2 linked regions of the Neodiprion lecontei genome follow. The protein of the gene in region 2 purifies or fractionates together with the protein of the main gene of each other region. This does not show direct contact. Links are inferred from orthologs where the notes say so. Each region holds a gene or a part of one and is shown on either strand. Other genes may lie near its edges.

Evidence for each region. The genes of interacting proteins can lie anywhere in the genome.
Region 1: the proteins of zinc finger CCHC domain-containing protein 10 (region 2) and neuralized-like protein 4 purify together in Homo sapiens (co-immunoprecipitation; 3 studies listed by BioGRID and IntAct, with this or other methods). This does not show direct contact. The link is inferred for Neodiprion lecontei from reciprocal best matches to the Homo sapiens genes ZCCHC10 and NEURL4.

What each region holds. Positions count from the first base shown.
Region 1 is NC_060263.1:40,957,929-40,963,415, forward strand, and holds the start of neuralized-like protein 4, read right to left. Parts: upstream 3,248-5,487; 5' UTR 3,161-3,247; coding exon 3,002-3,160; intron 2,898-3,001; exon of another isoform or gene 2,762-2,897; intron 2,668-2,761; coding exon 2,452-2,667; intron 1,620-2,451; coding exon 1,179-1,619; intron 994-1,178; coding exon 793-993; intron 711-792; coding exon 485-710; intron 357-484; coding exon 257-356; intron 123-256; coding exon 1-122. Other genes in the region: phosphatidylinositol N-acetylglucosaminyltransferase subunit A, read left to right, coding at 3,972-3,997, 4,303-4,459, 4,676-4,855, 5,004-5,238, 5,433-5,487. UniProt on the Homo sapiens protein: Promotes CCP110 ubiquitination and proteasome-dependent degradation. By counteracting accumulation of CP110, maintains normal centriolar homeostasis and preventing formation of ectopic microtubular organizing centers.
Region 2 is NC_060263.1:34,455,594-34,462,680, forward strand, and holds zinc finger CCHC domain-containing protein 10, read right to left. Parts: upstream 4,968-7,087; 5' UTR 4,872-4,967; coding exon 4,837-4,871; intron 4,574-4,836; coding exon 4,424-4,573; intron 4,221-4,423; coding exon 3,902-4,220; 3' UTR 3,816-3,901; coding exon of another isoform or gene 3,814-3,815; 3' UTR 1,967-3,813; coding exon of another isoform or gene 1,965-1,966; 3' UTR 785-1,964; downstream 1-784. Other genes in the region: aurora kinase C, read left to right, coding at 16-102; E3 ubiquitin-protein ligase Arkadia, read left to right, coding at 4,968-5,056.

The DNA.
Region 1 (5,487 bases), about 6.5 Mb from region 2:
CGCCAATTTCAATCGATCCAGCCCACTTTGTAACTATCTTGTCTAACTTAACTTCAAATAATTCATTTGGACGCAACGGTCGAGAAGTCAGTACAACACCATTGTTGAAATCATCTAGAGCGCTGCAAACGTATTTTTATTAATATGATGGTCTGTTTTCATGCCATTATGGATCTGGATTAATAAATTTTTCTTTTCCTTTCTTGTTTCGCAAGATCACTGAGAAATCATACTATTGTTCATTTTATACGCTTACTTGGGTCTATGAGCAGTTCTTCCATTATTAATTACATCCGCATGTGTCCCACAACAAACGTGAAACATCAGTCTATCTATCGCATCATCGTCTATCATTTCTACAGATAAATGAAAGGATAAGTTTACTTTGTCATAAGGAAAACTGGATATAGTTTAATTAGCATTAAAGTACACAATGATGAAGCAGTCGATAGAAAAAGTATGCCGAAAAATAGAAGAACTTTACCTTCGCCATTTAATCCCTGTAGATGCAGAGTGTTTCGTCTAGTGACTAAATTTTGTTCTTCTCTCTCATCCCGGTCGACAATGGTTACTTTAACAGTCATCCCGTAAAGATCTATAACACCCCAAATACCCGAGGGAACCTTGGCGGCGATACCTTGATCCAAACCATTTATAAGGTAATGAAGGTTTCCGTTACTTCGCCTAATCATTCCCACCCTGTCACCCTCCTGTAATATGGAATCCATATCAAACTTTGCAAGCAATATCTTGCTTCACTGAATTCATTTTATGCCATGGATTTAAACTTACTCTCAACTCGTCTAAATTGAACTCTCCGTACTCACGCTGAGTACCCTTGCCATTGGTCAGAATTCCACAGCCAGACATCATGGTTGTTCCAGATCGCATGTTGGTCATCGTTGCGGGAAATTCTAGTGCTGTCGGACTGTGAGTAGTAACACCTACTTCGATACTTCCTGACCATTTGTCCACTAATCTGTCTATTCGAATCTGGTTCACATTTAAAAAATTTGTTTAGATTGCAAACATTCCTTACCACAAACTTCAAGCTAATGAATCAATCGATTCGCCCAGGCAAAGTATAACTCAACACAGTGTATGACACATCAAATACTTTTTCAACTTGAAAACTTAAAATATTAGATCGCGGTAAGCCAAGGTGTGAAAAGTCTTACCTCAAAAAGCTCGTTATCTCTTAATGCTCTGTGCGTCATTACAACACCGTTATTAAATTCATCAAGTGGTCTTCGTCTCTCTGCCGTTCTAGCATTGTTAGACAATTTAATGAGGGTTCCGACTCGCTCATGGAACCTTAATCTGTCCTCCCGTATAGCAGCTGCGCTTGGATTCTTAGGTAGGTTGATATTTACATTAACGTTAACGTTCAGATTGGTAACTAAGTTTGTCGTTGAAGAATTTGACGTCTGTGCAAGTGCGTGATCATTGTTGATTTCTGTCTCATTTGTTACGTCTGTTATGGAAAGTGTTGGCCTCGGCTGAGAGACGCTTACTTGGACGCAGTTACCATACATATCAATTACTGCAAATACTCGTGAAGGGATATTTGTAGCTGCTACACCTTGAGACATTCCATTTACATAGAACACTAGTTCACTCTGAAAATGAAACAAAATATTTATTTGACTAATAATTGTTTCAAATACATGAATTTCAGTCTGTTCAATTTTAAAATGTGTCGTCATAATTTCAATGACTGGATTATAAATATCAAAAAATAATGGAGTTCATTAAATCTTCTCTGGTCAATTTTTGACAAACATTGACGGTTGGGAGTTTATTATTCAACGATTCTCAAAAATGACAGAGACAGTATTGAAAAAACATTGCATTATTTTTATCACTTTATAAAATCCTAATTGGAATATAATTCTTCCATTCCAAGAGATGTTAAAGTTTATTCATGTAACATACAAGTGACGGATGCATGGAAATCAGACAATTCTAAATATAATTTCCAGGTGGAAAAGCAATTCATGAAAGGTGCATACCTTGTTAAATAATTAAGCTAGTTGTATTATCCAATAAAATTTAAGTTATCTTTTTTTTTGTGCATCTATTCGTAGAGAATTGGTGCACAAGACGAAGCCAGTGATGAAATTTGAAGAAAATGCTGTCCTACTTTGTTCTTTTGATCTCAAATTTTGAAATAAGTATAATGAAAATACGATGAATCGTCAATTAGTATCTAATTTTGTTATTAAAATTCTTGTTTGGTAACAAAATCCTCTTAACATATCCTCTTAAAATGTTTGTAGTTAACCAATTTTCAATGATAAAGTAGGTGAAGAAAAAGAATAAGTTCAAACAGTTAGATGATCCTACATTTTGGCCTTTTCATATTCTGCTCGGTTCAAGATTCGGTGCTACACATAAAAAAGTCATCGACAAGAAAAAGAGAAATGAACCAAATACACAGTTAAGACTAACATTTGAGGTCCTCATCACACCAAGAAAATCTCCTTCCTCTAACGTTTCAAGATCTGTCCCGTACAGTTCTACAATTGGTTGTCCGTCACGAATAATCCCAGAACCTGACATTATCCATGATCCAAGTCTAAGCTTATTGGCACATGCCGGTAACTCCATACTCTCCGGATCACATGATGTCACTCCGATTTCAATGCTTCCGCTCCATGATACCATCTGAAAGAAATTACCGTGAAGAAACAAATAGGCAAAGAAAGAGCAGAAACGATATGTTGATAGACAAGTAACGAAGCGAAGAATATTGTCTTGCCTAGTTGAGGAGGACATTATGCAAGCACGGGGCATGCAGGAAACGGCGTTACAATTAAGAAACTGCGTGAAAGATACGGATTGGAAAACCGAGGTTTGTCCATAAAAGTCGTGGGCGACGATAGCGTGATGAAAACCTGTAAATCCCGGAGATTTGACAGTTCGGCGAGTCGATGCAGTGGGCGACAGGTACGAGTATGGAGAACTGCAGCATAACATGTCGAGTGGTGCACATCGTTACCTTTTTATCGATGCGAACTTCGAAGAGTTCATCATCCTTGAGCGGTTCGGAGCTTAATACGAGCCCGTAATTATATACAGAGAAATTTCGGACGGCGGTACAGTTGTCATTTATTAAATTAACACGCTCCCCGCATCTTTGGTGAAACATAACGGCCATTTGTGTATGTATACACAACAACAGCAGCAGCAGGGCCTCGTACTCCGAGGTCCCCGTATCCGATATCCGATCACGTCGTCTCGCGTACCAAATCCAACCAAACCATCATAAAAATAATCGATCATTTTTTCCCGATTAATCGAGTATAATCGATTATTTCTTAAACTCGATTAATCGACCGACTCGATTGTTCTTTCTTATATACAATCGGTTTTTGATTTTTACTCCCATATGAATGATACAATACAGAGAGAAACCTTACAATACAATATCAATTTATATGATTAAAGTATCAACAATTGACATTGTCTTACTTACCAAGCACCTATTTGATATAATAAGTGAAAGGCGTATATGAATATTTTCACTTACAACATTTTGATTTCATATGCATCGTTTCAAAAAAAAAAAAAATACGGAATAATCGATTAATCGGTTAATATTTACCGATTCAATTGAGTCATGTTCGATTATTTTTTGGAACTCGATTAATCGAAGCATATAGGATGACACTCGGTGCTAGCGACAGCTAGCGACGAGAAAAATACGCCCGAATGATTGGTTCTGATGTACCAGGTCCCACCTTGTAGGAGGGGTTTATCATTTCAAGCCAATGAAAAGGCTTCATTTCACCTATCCCACCGCAACGTCATCACATCATCAGCCAATTGAGGGAATTCAGTTTGGCAGTTATCGTCTGCAATAATCTGGTCAAAATCCACAATGACGCTCGTTGATAAACACGGGGGTGGTGAAACAGGTCAAATCGAGGTAATTGTGTAAAAAAAACAACTCGGTTTCAGATGTCAAGATGGGACAAACCCGGCATAAGATATGGTGAGCATTAATTCTATTTGTAAAAATATCCTTATATCAATGCCTACTGCTTTCGACTATTCTAACCTATAAATTCTGACACCAAAGCAAAGTCAAAGTTTATCGTCAAGCTGAACTATATCAATTATTTGCAAATGACTTGTAATTAAGAAGTGACATCTGTTTCCTTTATTTCAACTCGTTATCCATCTTGTTTTTGCAACATACCCTACCTTGACTACAGCAAACTGAGATAACTTTTGGAATGAACTTACCTATTCATATTTTAGCAAGTTACAATGCCATAACTTGATATTTTCTTTCAGTATGGTCTCCGACTTCTTTTATCCGAACATGGGTGGGGTGGAAGAGCACATATTCAATTTGTCCCAGTGCCTATTGGGTCGAGGACACAAAGTCGTAGTGCTGACGCACTCTTATGGTGATAGAGTAGGAATACGGTACATGACGAATGGCTTGAAAGTACATACTCTTCTTTGCCCTGTGATCAAATTTTTTGTTTTTAATCCTGGATGCTCATTCAGGGTCTAATTCCTCTGCAAAAATATAGAAAAAACACTGTTTCAAGTCACTCAGCTCATCAAAATCTACGAGTAACTTCTTATTGTAGTGTTAAATCAACTTTTTGTGTTCCCACTCACCACTACCATTGAATATATTACTTTTTATACATTTCAGGTCTACTACTTGCCGATAAAAGTATTTTACAATCAATGTGTGCTGCCCACCATGATCTGTTCTCTCCCATTGATCAGATACATCTTCATACGGGAACAGATCCAGATAATCCATGGGCATTCGGCATTCTCTGCCTTAGCCCATGAAGGGATGTTGATAGGGAGGCTGATGGGACTGAAGGTAAACTGCGGTCGCATTTCCAGGTGTCTTGAGATATTCGTGGGACATACTATGTCACGTAACTGAGAGGCCTGGAAAAGCAATAAATGAAATTAGCAATGAAAACAGTTTGAATTATGTTAAATCTCTTGTACGAATTCTGTTCTAGACTGTATTCACAGACCATTCATTATTTGGTTTTGCTGACGCATCTGCTATCCTGACCAACAAATTCATAGAGATATCACTGTCAGATTGCAATCACTGCATATGTGTATCGCACACTGGAAAAGAAAATACCGTATTAAGAGCAAAAGTACAAATAGAAAGGGTGTCAGTCATTCCAAACGCAGTTGACACTGCGCTATTTACACCTGATGTTAGCAAGAGGAACAATGATTTTAGTGAATATATTTTTCGATATTATAACAAGCAATGTCTAGCTGCTTGATTCTTTAGTCCGCTTTGCTGTTAGATACTTCACTCGAGAGATGAAAACACTTTGGCTTCATACAAGTTGCAAGATGCTTTTATGCAAGGTGGTTATTTGAATCTTTCAATTTCTTGCACATGCAGTGAATCAAAGCTTTTTTTGCAGTTACAATAGTTATAGTATCCCGGCTAGTCTATCGAAAAGGGGTGGATCTCCTAGC
Region 2 (7,087 bases):
GTTGATATGTTATAGCTGATTAAAAGGAAGAGCTCTGACAGAATTCCACTACCTGCTGTGATGAAGCACCCTTGGATAGTTGAAAAAAAAAGCAGAAAATAGTCATTTCTATAGTATTAGCTGTCGTCCCTGAAGCGCAATGCCTATTCTGGAGTGTAAGTGCTTTGAATACTGTATATTTCACATGATCAAACATTATTAGGGTAATATTTTTTCAGAGTTTGAATAGAAAAAATATTCCAATTTGTTTTTTAGTAAATTTATAGCATACTAACATCACACCAGACTGTAATGATGATTCATGGCTATCCAAATTGAAATCCATATTTTTATATTCTTTATTATATTTAATGATGAAGCTGAAAGCATTTGGTTTGTTCCTGCCAATTACACTATCTACACTTTCACAATATATTATAGTGATGGTATCCTCACACAAAAGTGTAAAAAGTATAAAAAGTGTAGCTAGCACGAACAAACCAATTGACAATAGAATATAACTTTTAAGATATAAGTTGAAGAAAGTGGCCTTAGTTTGATATGTAATAGGCTTTAATTTTATAAATACACTTCATCTTATTATACCACAATGTCAAAATCAATCTTCAGAAAATATGTGAATTCATTTGAGCGGACATTTTATTATTGATATTGGTCACATTCAAGTTGATATATAGGTGCCTTCACAATAATATGAGCGAGGAATTTTGGGTCAAACTTTTTAATGTATAAATAAATCGGCATTGTGTTGAAAAGGGTAGGTTTGAGATCAATAGTATGTATGTATTGTAGCATTATGATGTTCAAGAATTGAATTTATTATCATCCCATCAACGCGTAGTAATTAATACAGAGTTATTTTTGCTATCTATAACACTGCTATAATTTTGATATAAAAGAAGTATTTTTACTGGAGACTGATGGAGATTATCAAGGGGTAATGTACCAGTAGACCGCAAGAGCAATTTCGGGAATGTTTATCTCATAAGCTAATAATTCCATTTGAATCAGATTTTTTCATTTGAAAGCCGTATACATGCAGGTGCATGTATAAATTTTTTTTTTTTTACAGGAACCCATTTTCTGGAATCACTGTTATCTTGTCCAGCGTAAAACGTATTCCTCATGGATCCAGGAATCCGTGCAGTCGGTTCATCTGAAACATAGAATTCAAAGGGAATCTTAAAATATAATATATAGAGTAGTCCGTGATGGTAGATTTCTATCCTGAAACTTATTTTTACAGAAATGCCGACAGTTCGAACATGATGTTCGTTCGTCGTCCATAATTTTCGACCCTCGGGGTTTTAAAAAAAATTCTCCCGTGTGAATAAGAAAAAATGTCACAAAACATTGTATAAAAATTGCAGCAAATCAGTCGAACCATTTTCGAAATATTTTGAGAATCGACTTCCAAATTGATGTTTTAAGATAACTGAGTTCAACGTTTGGCCAAGAAATTATGTGCAAGATATATTTTTTTTCTTCAATTTACCGTCAGTGATTCCAGGGTCATAATTTACTATTCCAGCATCAATTCTTACCTATTTACACTGAATTCCTCTTCACGGGTCGCCTGTTTAGTTTCAATTTGGTTGATATGAATGTGCTCCTCATCGTCTACTTCGCAGTACCAATCAGCTTTCCTTTTAATTTGGTTCCGGAGTTAAAAATTCATGTCGCTGTATTAGCGGCAATGTTTCCAATGTGTGAACTGCTATGGTTGATCTCGGGTGCTATTACCAAAGTACGTTGTTGAAGCTCCCGTTTGAATTTGGTGTGTATCTTCTGTCATAGCATTGTAACTGTCACAATTAGATCTCTAAATATCAACTCAATATATTTGTCTACATCTGGATGGAGAACAGGCTTATGGTGGTAGCTCTTCAATGTATTTGTAGCCTTTGCTCACTGCCAAGAGAACACCACTGTCAATCCCTGGTGGACACCCATCATGCTGTGACTTCTGGTCAGTTGATATCATATGGAAAAAGGTATACCGAAGATTGTTTGGTAATTTCTTTGCACAATATAACGGCATCAGCATGATCTTGCAATACTGATACTGAAATACCGAAACACCGAGATATCGAAGACATCAATATTCCTCATCATAAAATTAATGGAGCTTTGTTTACATGGACTTGTTTGAAACTACGATTTTTACCAAAACAACGGTACTTTGAAGTAATGCATGTACCGATTATCTGCAAGAATTTCTTAATCTGTTTGACACCTGCCAAACCATAAACGTTCGCCATTAACATAACAAGGATATTGGATGAGGCATTGTAGGAAACTTCTGGTATAGTCAGGTCATGTAAAGTCACTCGGAATATTACAACTTCCCAAGAGTTGTGATATATTTCTTTCACAAACCATTTTTTTGTCTTGAAAAATGCATGCGCAACTGAAACTGTTGAAATATTTGATTATCAAACTTTCAACGAAAATGCTGAACTCGTTACTGATTGATTTGATATGTGTAACAGATCAGTTTGAACAATGCTTAAGATCATGAAAAAATAATATACATTCTTTGCAACTCATTAGTGAGTTGTAATATTTTACAAACAGATGTATGGATTTGAATAGTATCTTGTCTGATGAGTCCCTGTAGCTCTCTGTATGCCATATATTTACATGATATTTTGGTATGGTTATTATATAGGATCCTACATGGCTGATTCTATGAAGTAGCTGCTGACCAATATACATAATAGCTTTTAGATTCGAAAATCGGAACCTAAGATAAGATTACGCTTGGCTAAGAGACTAACAATATTCTTTTGTATAGAATATATTTTAACGAAGAATTGGAGAAAAATTATCCCATTATATAATATGTATATAAAAGGAATTGTATTTTCATGCTGCATAAACGGGATCTCATAACATTTTCAAGAAATGAACAATGTTGTGCTAATATTAGTATGATAATGAGACAGCTGCATATGTGTGCAGTATAAATAAAAAACTGCTAGACTGATTTTTAATGGGTTACCAATATCATTCTTATGATTATCAAACTAACACAGGCTCTGTCTTATCACCCCATTGCTCCAGGGGACTGAGAAATAAACAAAATTGGTAATTTATTCATTCATCTCCATCCTCGTTTCAGCTGGGTTTTCCTTGGTAAATTCAGTAGAGTAATGGTGGGGATGGTAGGCTACAATTTTCATATTGCCAGACTGCTCACGATACAATTTGACGAGTACATTTACGAACTATCCATTTTCCACAACAGAACGATATGCGATGCAAGCAGGAGCAAAGCCCCTAGTTCATGACAAATATTATAGTTTGTATCACCAATTAGTATCTACAGCCTTGTACGTTTCGAGATTATTGAATGTCTGCGGGCACATACTAACAGGCATTTGACCAACTATAATGATGGCATAGTATGTAAATGTTCTGTTGACAGTCACGTTATTAACCAAACAAAGAAGCCTAATGGTCATATGGAAAATAAATAAATGTCTTTTAGAAATTTGGAATTTAAATAAATAATAATAGTGCAGATAGCAAATATTTCAAATTTACTCATTTAAATATACTTTTTTTCCTTATGATTAGTTGACATAGCATTATTATATTTAAGTCCTTAAGTAATACATTAATAGTAGTAAAATAACTATGAAGTTATTCAATGGTAAAAAAAGTGATAAAAAATAGATTGTCGATGATATGAGATTCCATACATTTAAAAATGTAAATGGAACCTTTTGACGCATTTCTACTTTGCTACTCGTCAATCCTTTTGCACAAGGCTTGATTTGTTTATCCAAAAACTTCATTTTTTTTTCATTCTACAACAAGAAAACATGTCCTCTTCATTGGAATGTTAGAATAATTTGCATGACTTCGCAATATAGAATGATGAATGAACTCATTCCTATGTTACAACAGGAGTAGGTACTAATTTGAACGTATGTACTAATTTAAACTTACATTTTTTCGTTTTTTTTGCTTTACTGGATTTGGTACCTTCGCTGGAACTAGAATCTCTGCTTGATGAACTGGATGAGGTGCTGCTACTACTACCACTGCTACTACTCGAGCTAGATGAGCTGTCACTGGAATCCGAATCATCGGAGGAAGAACTGTCTGAACTACTACTATCTGTGCTTGAGCTATCTGAATCACTTGTACTACTTGATTCCTTTCTAATTTTTTTTTTCTGTTTCACAGTTTCACTGGTCATCTCTGGCTCCCTATGAAAATTGTTAGACGAGTCACTTTATTGAAAAGTTATGAGGTCAAAAAATGCTAAAGATGGCGATTGAAAAAATGAAACGCAGATTCGAATACCATTTTTTTTGTAGAACAATCTTATATAGCGGATACTCAGAGGAAATGATAAAATTAAAACTATTGGAATTTAGGAAGACGTATCAGTAGACAAACATGAACTTACAATTTTTCCACCTCTTGCTGTTTTATTGCCTTTTTTAATTGCGTAGTTCGTGAAGATCTGTGAACGTATTTCCTCTTGCCTTTGCACTCATAACTCCAGTGACCCATTTCCAAACACTTTTGACAACGCACAGATGCTGGGTAAGGATATCTGAAAGATTGGATGTATTAATTAATTTTTAAATCATAATAAAAATTTGTATTCGAATTGATTATTTTTTCAGATAACGCCAAAGTTTGTAATTTATAGCGAAAAAATAAACATATTAAACTTTTATTTGTTTTTCCAATGTTTATAACCTATATGAAAGTATTGTTCAAAATTTTTAATGATAAGATATACACAGAAATTGAAAAGGCGTATAATAATAATAATTATTATTATCATTTGTACTAGGCAAAAATTTTACGTACGTTTTTTTCATTAGCTTCATACCGTACGCGCTCATTACGGTGCTTGATTATTTTTGTTTGAACAACAAACAACACGTTTCCAACCTACTACAGAATCGTCTTGGGTTGATTGGGTCAGGTTCTTCTTCCTAATGGCTATGCCCCCGAAAAAGAAGCGCCAACGTACTCTTAGCTTATTCCTGGGATATCCAGGAATTTCAAGAACTATGGTGATCCTTAGGTATTTAATTGAACTTATTCTTACTTTATTTAACTATTAGATTATATTTAACCCTATTTTATACTAATCATTTACTTATTTATTTATTTATTTTACTCCTCTATCCCCCTCTGGAATGTGCCCTGTTGCATATTCGTTTCCAAAGCTTTCGGCAGGAAGGATGTAACAGCACGACAGGAAAAAAAAACAACAAAAGAAAACATTGAACAGAGACACAGAGATGTATAAAGTAATAGGCAAATGCGCATAGTCATAAGTTGAGATTATTCCTAATTATAAATCTGCTAGGACCGTGATAACCTGAGTGGACCCTTTTAGAAATATTTCTTGCAGGTCAGTATCTCTAGTAACTTTATGTTTTTGAAGAAAGTTCTTAAGTTTGACACGGGGAGGCTAAAATATGGACACTCCCAAAACAAGTGATTACCCGACGGAACAGGGTGACCACACGTGCAAACCTGTGGAGCGACCGGGAATTCGGTCAGGTTAAGTAGGTTAGGTTCGTTTAACCTGAAACCATCCTGAAGCAGACAGTTGAAGATTGAAATAGAGCAGAGTGGAGCTGAGGTAAGGCTGCGTTCGCCCATGAGATTGCTTAGTACTGTGGGCGGTCGTCATGTCGTAGTTGGTGCACAAAAAGAAAAGTGAGCACGGTAGTTGCAAGCTTCACGGCACAGGCGTCGTTCGCGTTTGCTTGCCTGGCTGTAGTCGCTGTTTAGCCATTCTTGGATCTGTGTAAATTTTTTTTACTTCTAGTTTTATTGTTGTTACTGACATAAGAGTATTCACACTTCGTAGCTAAATTTTTATGCATGTACAGACAGCAAATTACATAAATTCCGAGTAATCAAGTGACACGTTCCACTTTATAATGCGCTGATAGTTCATACGCAAGTGACGAATAGTAGCTATAAATTATTTTGCTTATAATGACAAGGTGAAGAACGGGAATCTCGGTACATTATTCTATCCACCAGAGGAGGGACAAGTATGTCGTATACATCCTGAATAAAATCTATTGTTTCACCATTATTTGATTTTAATAGGGTAATCAAACCTGAGCTATACAGTTATAAGGTCGTATAATCATTTTCACGGACGGACGAATATATTACCCAGGCGTGGATCTTCCACTCAATGAATCATTCGCCTCCCTGATTAATTTTATCCTGTTATAGGTTCATCCGTTGTTCTAATTTATTTATTTTGTCTTTCACCTTGATACGTACTCGCCGGTTATTTAATCAGGGCCAAGAATTCAGACGTCTGGCAATTTTTTTTTCTCCTGGCAGTTTCCATCACTCAATTATGGCTTCTTTGGCTTCTGCAAAATCTGATTTTCTCATATCAGAATTCCGTATCATCTTGTATTTGAAAGTTCAAGCTTCAATAAAGAATTTGATCATTTCAATTGTTTTAAATTTGCATCTACCTCCTTATTCTTGTGGTATATTCATTTTTGTAACTAGGAATATAATTTTTTGTTGATACAATATCAAATTGATTACTTGTTCAATTTCTTTTTATGTAATACCAGCTTATATTGCACGATTTCAAAGTGATATAGAATTATGTGTATTCATTATTCATAATGTCTTGAACAAAAGTTATCCTCATTGCTACTTATGTCTAGGATTGACGCAAATCTGAAAAAACTAATTCCGATAACTTTGGCTTATACTACCTAAAATACTTTGGTAATATATTCTCTAAGTTACTCCATAAAATTTAGGTATGAAAAAATTTTTAATTTGCTCTACAATAATTGTAAGATTGTTTTATGGAACCTGGAGGTAAAAAATTGAGTCATGGGATTTATTGCAAACTGCATCAATTGGCAAATGTTACAAATTTTTATTAATCAATGAATTACTGCAAATCATTTAATTGACCCAATTTTTCATGTCTTTTCATGCACATGCATTTTTGTATTTCTTATTCTCAGTCAACTTCTTGTAGTTGACTAACCAATCAATATTGAGTTATTGCCTAGTCAGTACATATTTCGATCGAATAGTATGCTGCAATGCT